Linked DNA regions of Oryctolagus cuniculus. The protein of the gene in region 2 purifies or fractionates together with the protein of the main gene of each other region. This does not show direct contact. Links are inferred from orthologs where the notes say so. Each region holds a gene or a part of one and is shown on either strand. Other genes may lie near its edges.

The links. The genes of interacting proteins can lie anywhere in the genome.
Region 1: the proteins of RACK1 (region 2) and LARP4 purify together in Homo sapiens (affinity purification with mass spectrometry; 3 studies listed by BioGRID and IntAct, counting the BioPlex papers as one, with this or other methods). This does not show direct contact. The link is inferred for Oryctolagus cuniculus from reciprocal best matches to the Homo sapiens genes RACK1 and LARP4.

Annotation. Positions count from the first base shown.
Region 1 is NC_091442.1:54,154,334-54,158,080, reverse strand, and holds the start of LARP4 (la-related protein 4), read left to right. Parts: upstream 1-892; 5' UTR 893-1,259; coding exon 1,260-1,349; intron 1,350-3,161; coding exon 3,162-3,309; intron 3,310-3,747. UniProt on the Homo sapiens protein: RNA binding protein that binds to the poly-A tract of mRNA molecules. Associates with the 40S ribosomal subunit and with polysomes. Plays a role in the regulation of mRNA translation.
Region 2 is NC_091445.1:34,938,681-34,942,427, reverse strand, and holds the start of RACK1 (small ribosomal subunit protein RACK1), read left to right. Parts: upstream 1-1,201; 5' UTR 1,202-1,888; intron 1,889-3,747. UniProt on the Homo sapiens protein: Scaffolding protein involved in the recruitment, assembly and/or regulation of a variety of signaling molecules. Interacts with a wide variety of proteins and plays a role in many cellular processes.

The DNA.
Region 1 (3,747 bases), on a different chromosome or scaffold from region 2:
ATAAGAATTAATAAATGAGGAATTCTTACCCCAATTTACAATGAGAAAATTGAAGCTTAGATTTGTTAAACTTCCCAAGATCATACATGATCTCAAGTTCACGTTAGAGCTCTGTTTTCAATTCAAGTGGGGTTCTAAAGCTTCAGTCACTATGTTTAGATAATAATTGCTTGTGGTGAACTACTTTGAAATACCTTTTTTGCTTTTCTTACAGCTACATACCACTCTTCATAGTTAGGGGTACTTCTTATAAGTTTGTGTGGCGCTTTCGTTCTGTCCTTTCCAGGTATAGCTCTTATTCCTTCAGTTTTTTATATTGTATTCTTTGATTGTATTTATCAAGATTCAGAAGTCTGATATCTCTGAGAGATGTACTCTTTTTGTCTGCTGTCTTCTTGTCTGGAGGCATATTGGATACTGAGAATTGAGGAGAGAAAGAGAGTAGAAATGTAAATGTAGATCTTCTATTAAAAGGACTTAATATCAAATTAAATACTGGGCACATAGCAGGAGAGCTGGGCTATAACAAGATCCTCATAGTTCTATTCCACTACCAGTCAGAAACTATGCTGAAGTTAGTCATTTGATCTACTGGTTGAGACACTGTGTCTCATTTCGTGTGACTGGGCTTGATTCTCAGCTCCAGCTTCTGACTTCTTGCAGAAGCAGACCCTCAGAGCAGCAAATGATGGTTCAAATGATTGGGTCCTTGCCACCCACATGGAAGACCTGGAGCTCCTGGCCTTGGCCTTGCCCAGGCCTGCCATTACAGGCATTTGGGGTGTAAGCCAGCAGGTGAGAGCTCTGTTCTGTCTGCCCGTGTCTCTCAAATTAAAAGGAAAGAAAAGGAAATTATTCTGTACCTAAATTCCCAAATCATAATCACTGATTAACTCAGCTCAGTGGCCCACCAAAAGCACAGTGGTAGGAGAGTACTGTTCTGATGCAGACAGGCAGGGGATGTATTATCTGTAGAGAATTGTAAAACTGACCAAAAAAATATGCTTTTTGTTGTCAGACACCTAGAAATTCTAAACTGCGACATTAATAAAGTACACCTTACTGTCACTGCCATTTCAAGGCACAACTTTTGATCCAAAAATAGGAATAGACCTAGAAAAGGCATTGTATCTAGTCTTTTCTTTTTCCAGACTGCATCTCAAGATCTTTCTTTCCAGTTTATAAAAGGAAGCAATGAAAAAGAAATATGGCAAGCAATAGAGTATAATTAAAGAATATTATTTCATTGGCTCATAAATATGTTACTTGTGTGGTGTAGAAATGCATTCAAAGAAACTCAAGTGAAGAAATCAGAAGAGTGCAGGGGGATTCCAGGGACAGAACTGCAAGTAAGTAGAATTAGGCATCCTGGAAGCTGAAGCTTTAAGACAGCAGCTTAGTGTGGGACCTCCGCAGATCTGTCCACTCAAAAGTTGTGCCTTAGTTGGACATATTCTGCTGTTGGTAATACCTTAAAAGCTGATGTTTGTTTTGTTTTTAACCATGACAGTCATTATTAAGAACCCCTGCAGGTAGGGAGAGGTTTTTTTGGTTTTGTTTTTTTGTTTTTTTGTTTTTTTTTAACAGGCAGAGTTAGACAGTGAGAGAGAGAGACAGAAAGAAAGGTCTTTCTTCTGTTGGTTCACTCCCAAATGGCCGCCATGGCCAGTGCGCTGTACCAATCCGAAGCCAGGAGCCAGGTGCTTCCTCCTGGTCTCCCATGCAGATGCAGGGGCCCAAGCACTTGGGCCATCCTCCACTGCCTTCCTGGACCACAACAGAGAGCTAAACTGGAAGAAGAGCAACCAGGACAGAATCTGACGCCCAACTGGGACTAGAACCCAGGGCACTGGCACTGCAGGCGGAGGATTAGCCAAGTGAGCCGCGGCACTGGCCTGTTTGTTTTTTTAAGATTTATTTATTTTAAAGGCAGAGTTACAGAGAGGCAGAGGCAGAGAGAGATCTTCCATCTACTAGTTCACCCCCCAAATGGCTGTAATGGCCAGAGCTGAGCTGATTCAAGCCAGGAGCCAGGAGCTTCTTCTGGGTCTCCCATGTGGTGCAGGAGCCCAAGTACTTGGGCCGTGTTCTACTGCCTCCTAGGCCATAGCAGAGAGCTGGGTCAGAAGTAGAGCAGCCAGGTCTTGAACTGGTGCCCATATAGGATGCCAGGACTGCAGGTGGTGGCGTTACCCGCTATGCCATTATAAAATCCCTAACCCCTGCAGGTAGGGATTTTATAATGAACTCCTGATACATGGTGTAATGTGCTAGCTCTCTTTCATGAAAGCTGAATTCCTGGTGCCTTAATCTTGATTAAGTTCATTCTCTGCCCTTTGAGCCCACCCTTGGGAGCCTATCATCTATTGGTAGTGGTAGGGGTCTACCACTGAGAAGGGAGTAGAATAACTTTTTGAGAAGAGGGTGAAATGTTTACTGGATTATTAATGTCCTTGAGAAGGATGAGACCCTGTTGGTTTGGATAAGGTGAGAGGAGTGTATTTGTGCATCTCACCGTCTCTTCCTTGCTCTGTCTCTACCTTTTCACACTCTTAGCCCTGTTCTGTTCTCATGCTCAGTTTTTGTGGTTAGATAAGCCATGTAAAAGATCAGTTTAAATGTTGGTATCTCAGTATGATTATTGTGTTGTACACACTTGAGGATGTCTACCTTGAGAAGAGAGGGAAGAGAGCATTCCAAAATAAGGCAGATGCTGTGATACAATTCAAACTCAAATGTGTGACACAGCTTGGATGACAATAAAGATGAGGTACTCTGGAAAATTACACTACAGATAAACTCAGAAATTTGCTATAGATACACAAACACTAATGCCTCAAAGATATGTGAACAGTTTGAATTTTACGACATTTACAAATGGGTTGGGGTAGAACAGTATTACCATTTTAGAAGTAATTTATAGGGCTTTGCATTGTTTGTAAAATAGATGGCTAAATTTTATATGGACATTTCAAATTCATTACTTTAAAAGTTTTATATTTTGAAACTGACCAATAATTTTAATGTTAACTGATTTCATTTTATTTAATATAATTATTGGAAAGTATTTCACTTTTAAGTAATGTAGAAGCCCTTTGTCTAAATTTGCATTTCTTTTAATGCACTTTTAAATTTTACAAATAGAATCTTTGGTTATTTAGCAGGTAACATCTAAAGGAACTGGTTTAAATCCCAACGCCAAAGTATGGCAAGAAATTCCTCCTGGAAATCCTGATGCCACTCCTGTAACTCATGGAACGGAAAGTTCTTGGCCTGATACAGCAGCCACATCAGGGTCCCCTCCTGAAGGTAAGTGCGAAGTGTTTTATCAGAAATATCACATTTTGTTTAAATGTGTAATCAAATCAGTTTGTAGAACTTGGACTTACATTCTTTGATTATGTGACTAAATACACTTATAAATGTTTAGTACACAGTTTACATGTAATTCTCACTCATCTAATATGAACGGATTGTCAGTAATTCCAAGTAGCAGCTGTATTGTTAAACCTAGCTTCTAACCCATTTATAATAACCTATTTATAAATCAGTTTTGCTCTAACATCATTGGCTTTGCTGTTTACTTACTGTTTGACCTTTATCAAATGACATGACTTCTCTGTGCTATTTCCTTCACCTGGAAAACAAAAACTATTACAATTACCTGTAGCAGGGGTAGGGAACCTTTTTTCTGCCAAGGGCCAATTGGGTATTTGTAACATTACTCATGGACCATATAAAATTATC
Region 2 (3,747 bases):
GATCGGCTTTAAACCACATCCATCAAACAGTCCTCACAAGGGTCCAGAGACCCCCCCCATTTCCTCTCCTCTATGAAATTCTCTCATTACCTGGTTAATGCCACTCTTAGGATCATTTGTTGCTATTCTTGTGCTGTCTTTTATGCTACAGTGTCTGTTTAAGTGTTTACAGGTGTTGATAATGGAACGAACCAAGGTCTTCACCAACCCAGTGGTCTACCAAATGCTGCTACAGGGATATACTCAGCTCCCCACCCAGGAGACAGCAGCTTGAGATATTGCCCCATGCTAGCAAAGAGTACCTCGATGCCCCATGTCAGCAGGAAGTAGCTCTAAAGACAGATCATCGTCCCTCTACCCCTCCTGGACTTTTGGGACAAATGTAATTCCATACAACTCCTGTTGGGAATATGGCACAGTTTTATCCATGGCACGATCTACACCCCAACACCATCTTAGGCTCTAGCCCCTGCTGGCATTGCTGGAAGCCTGGTGTCCACATGGCCCAACCAACGTTGTCAAGTTCCACACCCATCCTAATGGGATTTGCTGCTCCTGCTTCCCTGCCCACCCTCTGGTAAAGTTTTAAAAGGAGCTGTTCCTGAACACATGGCTCTCTCGCTGTCTCTCTGCTCTCTTGGCTTCTCTCTTGCTCCCCTCCCTCCTCTCTCTCTTTTTCCTCTCTCCTCTCTCCTCTCTCCTCTCCTCTCTCTTCTCTCTCAGCTCCTCTCTGTTCTCTCTCTTCTCTCCTTGCTAGCTCCTCTCCTCTCTTCTCTCTCTCTCTTACACTCTCCTTCTCTCTCTTTTTCCTTCTCCATCCCTTCCCTCTGGTCCCTTTCCCTTACTCCAGTGTTTGGTGTGTTTTGTGATGACCTTACATATTCAACTCCTTAATCTTAAGTCCTTTAGTATGTACTCAGTTCCTTCCTTAATGCCATTTAGTAGGACTTTTGTGGCTCTCCTAAAGACCCTCCTATCCAGTGTATCACCTCTTGGTTTAACTCACTCTTTGCTTTGATTACTACAGTAGCTTCCTAATTCTTGATTCTAGTCCTACTCCTTCAACCCATCCCTCACTCTGATAAAAAATGCCTTCTGGTAAAATAAAATCTTGGTAGGAGAGAGATGAGGTCAGAATCCTATAGAGACTGCTCTGGGTTTAAAAATAATAACCAAATTTCTTATATGTAAATGTCTTCCAGACTACCTTGGATTTTAATTTTTCTCACCTTACCTCTCAAAGCCATCCCTCTGTAGTCAAGCTGATATCTCTGCCTGAAACAACCTTCTTTAAGTACTTTTACCATTCAGCTGTAAAAAAGAGCCCTGAGGGGATTCAACTACATATTGAGGTAAGGACCACTACACTGCTATGAGAGCTCAAACAGTAACTTGCCCTAGACCTGAGGGTCACAGCTGGCTTCCCTGAGGAGGCAACCTGAGCTGACATGCTCAAAGAAGTTTAGATTTAACTACAAGAAGGGGAGTTGGATATGGGAGGAGGAGCCTCCCAGGCAAAAGAACAATGTATGTAAAGGTCCTATGTGGATAGAATTGAGGTGTTGGAAGAGGAAGGGAAGATTAGTGTGGCCACAAAATATAGTGCAGTCTGCCAGAGCCAGTCACACTGATTCCACAGAGTGATAGTAAAAATTTTGGTTATTATCTTAAAGTATATTGAAAAGCCCAGAACTTTAGCGGGCATTCAATAAACCTCTGGTCCTGGCCACACACTTGTCCTTCAGTCCTTCACAGGCACTCACAACAGCCTTCATCTCTGCATTTGAGGAAAAGCTGGACAACCCCTCAAACCCCCCACAGATCTGAACGCTGGCAGGACAGGATGGAGGCCACTCCTCCTAGAGAAGATGTTATGTATCTCTGTCAGGTAAGCCTGAGGAGCTCTTTCCAATCATGAAGGTACTTGGGACCCCTTCCAGAAAAGAAATGGTGACACAGCCTTTATTAAAAGAGCCTCTCCAATTTCTCCTTAGGATTATTATCTTGTGTGGAAAGGAAGTGGTGTCCATAGTCAGACATGGGAGAAAAGGAGCAGTTTAGGGACTTGGAAGGAAAGTGGAGAGAGTGAATTAACATGAGTTACAGTCAGAAAGGGCTCTGTCAACAGGGTGTGGACCACCAATGAGCCTTGCCTACAAAGGCCAGAGGGCCTCCAGTAGGCATCCCCACTTCCTTGAAGCTGGAGTGAGAAGGAAGAGGCAAGAAAGCCTTACCTCACAGGCACAGGTGGACTTCTTGCAAGAGGAACAAAATGGAATGGGTCAGGCTCCCTTTGGTGATGGAGGGTCAACTAACACATCTCCATTGCAGAGATGGGGTCCCTGGCCTGAGCCAGGTATCTATACCTCTCAATTCCAGCTGGTTGCTAAACGTGAAAGGCACTGCTCCTCCCATCCTGTTGCTGCTATAAACAATACCTGAAATGGTTTCTGGATAAGGATGATGCTTCCCTTGGTTCAGAGTTGTCCTTCAGTGACCACTGGGGCCTGCCAGCATCTCTGGTGAAGGCAGGAATGACTAGAAGAAAACTACAGAGGAAAAGCCTAAATATTGCAGGACTTGATAGTCCAGAGAGCCCCCATACAGTCTACTCATCTCTCTACTTCCAGTGGCAACTCCATCTGGGTCCAGATAGACTCCAGGATAAAACCAGCATGCCCTCCCCCCCCCCCAGCCCCATAGGAGGAAGGCATGGCCAGAATCATGTTCTATAGATTGAAGAATAACTTTGGGGAGAAGCTGGTGAAAGGTACCTTCTGAAGTCTCTTTTCCATCTATCAAGGAGGGAAAACATGATGACACTTGGGCAAAAGAGAAGCAGACCCTGAGAACTGGGCACAAGCAGGGAAGAGAGCAGTGCTGGTCCTAGGAACCTCCTATATCTGTCAAGGGAGCTGGCAGTGGCCTCTTCCTTGAGTGTGTGTGATTGACCCAAAAGGTCTTGTTTTAAACCTGAACTCCCAACCCCACCTCAGGAATGCTGCTTCCAAAAGGCTCCCTAGGCAAAGTTCAAGAAACAGAATAGATTAGTTTTCTTCAAAGGGAGAAAAAAAGAATTATATTATCTGAGAGCTGATGTGAACCAAGCATGAATGAACTGTATGTTCTTGAAGGGAGATTAGAAATCCTTTCAGTTTATAGACCTTCAGCCAGGAAATCCCTCCCAGTCTACACTGTGTTGCAAGTGTAGCCATTCACCTCTCTATTTGTGCCAAGTGCTCAGGAAAGCTCTGGTATGACCCTAGTCATTGGCAGGAAACTAATCATGAGGGTAGATGATGGCAGGGATCTTCCATGACCACCACTGGAAATATAAAGCACAAAAAGTTACAAAACACACGGATTGCAGTGTAGTTCAGTATTGGAAAAACAAAAGGACTGCCAATTGGGGGTGCCAAGATGATGTACAAGTCTAGGGCCTTAAGAGGACAGCATCTTGCAGAATCCAATAGAGACTACAGAGGAAAGTAGCAAAGTCTGCAAGGGACCAAGATAACAAATAGTCTCTAGGTGGAGATCCTGGCTTTTTCCACACACCTGGGCAGCCACTTCCCATTGCCTGTCTACCTTCCAACAAGACTTCCAGGTAGCAATGTCAAGTTCTTTTGCCAAACCTGTGAGAGTGTATGTCTACTATCCTCCAATACCCCAACTAAGGATCCTTGAACTTTTTTTTTTTTTTTTGGTAAAGATTTATTTATCTATTTATTTAAAAGGTGGAGTTGT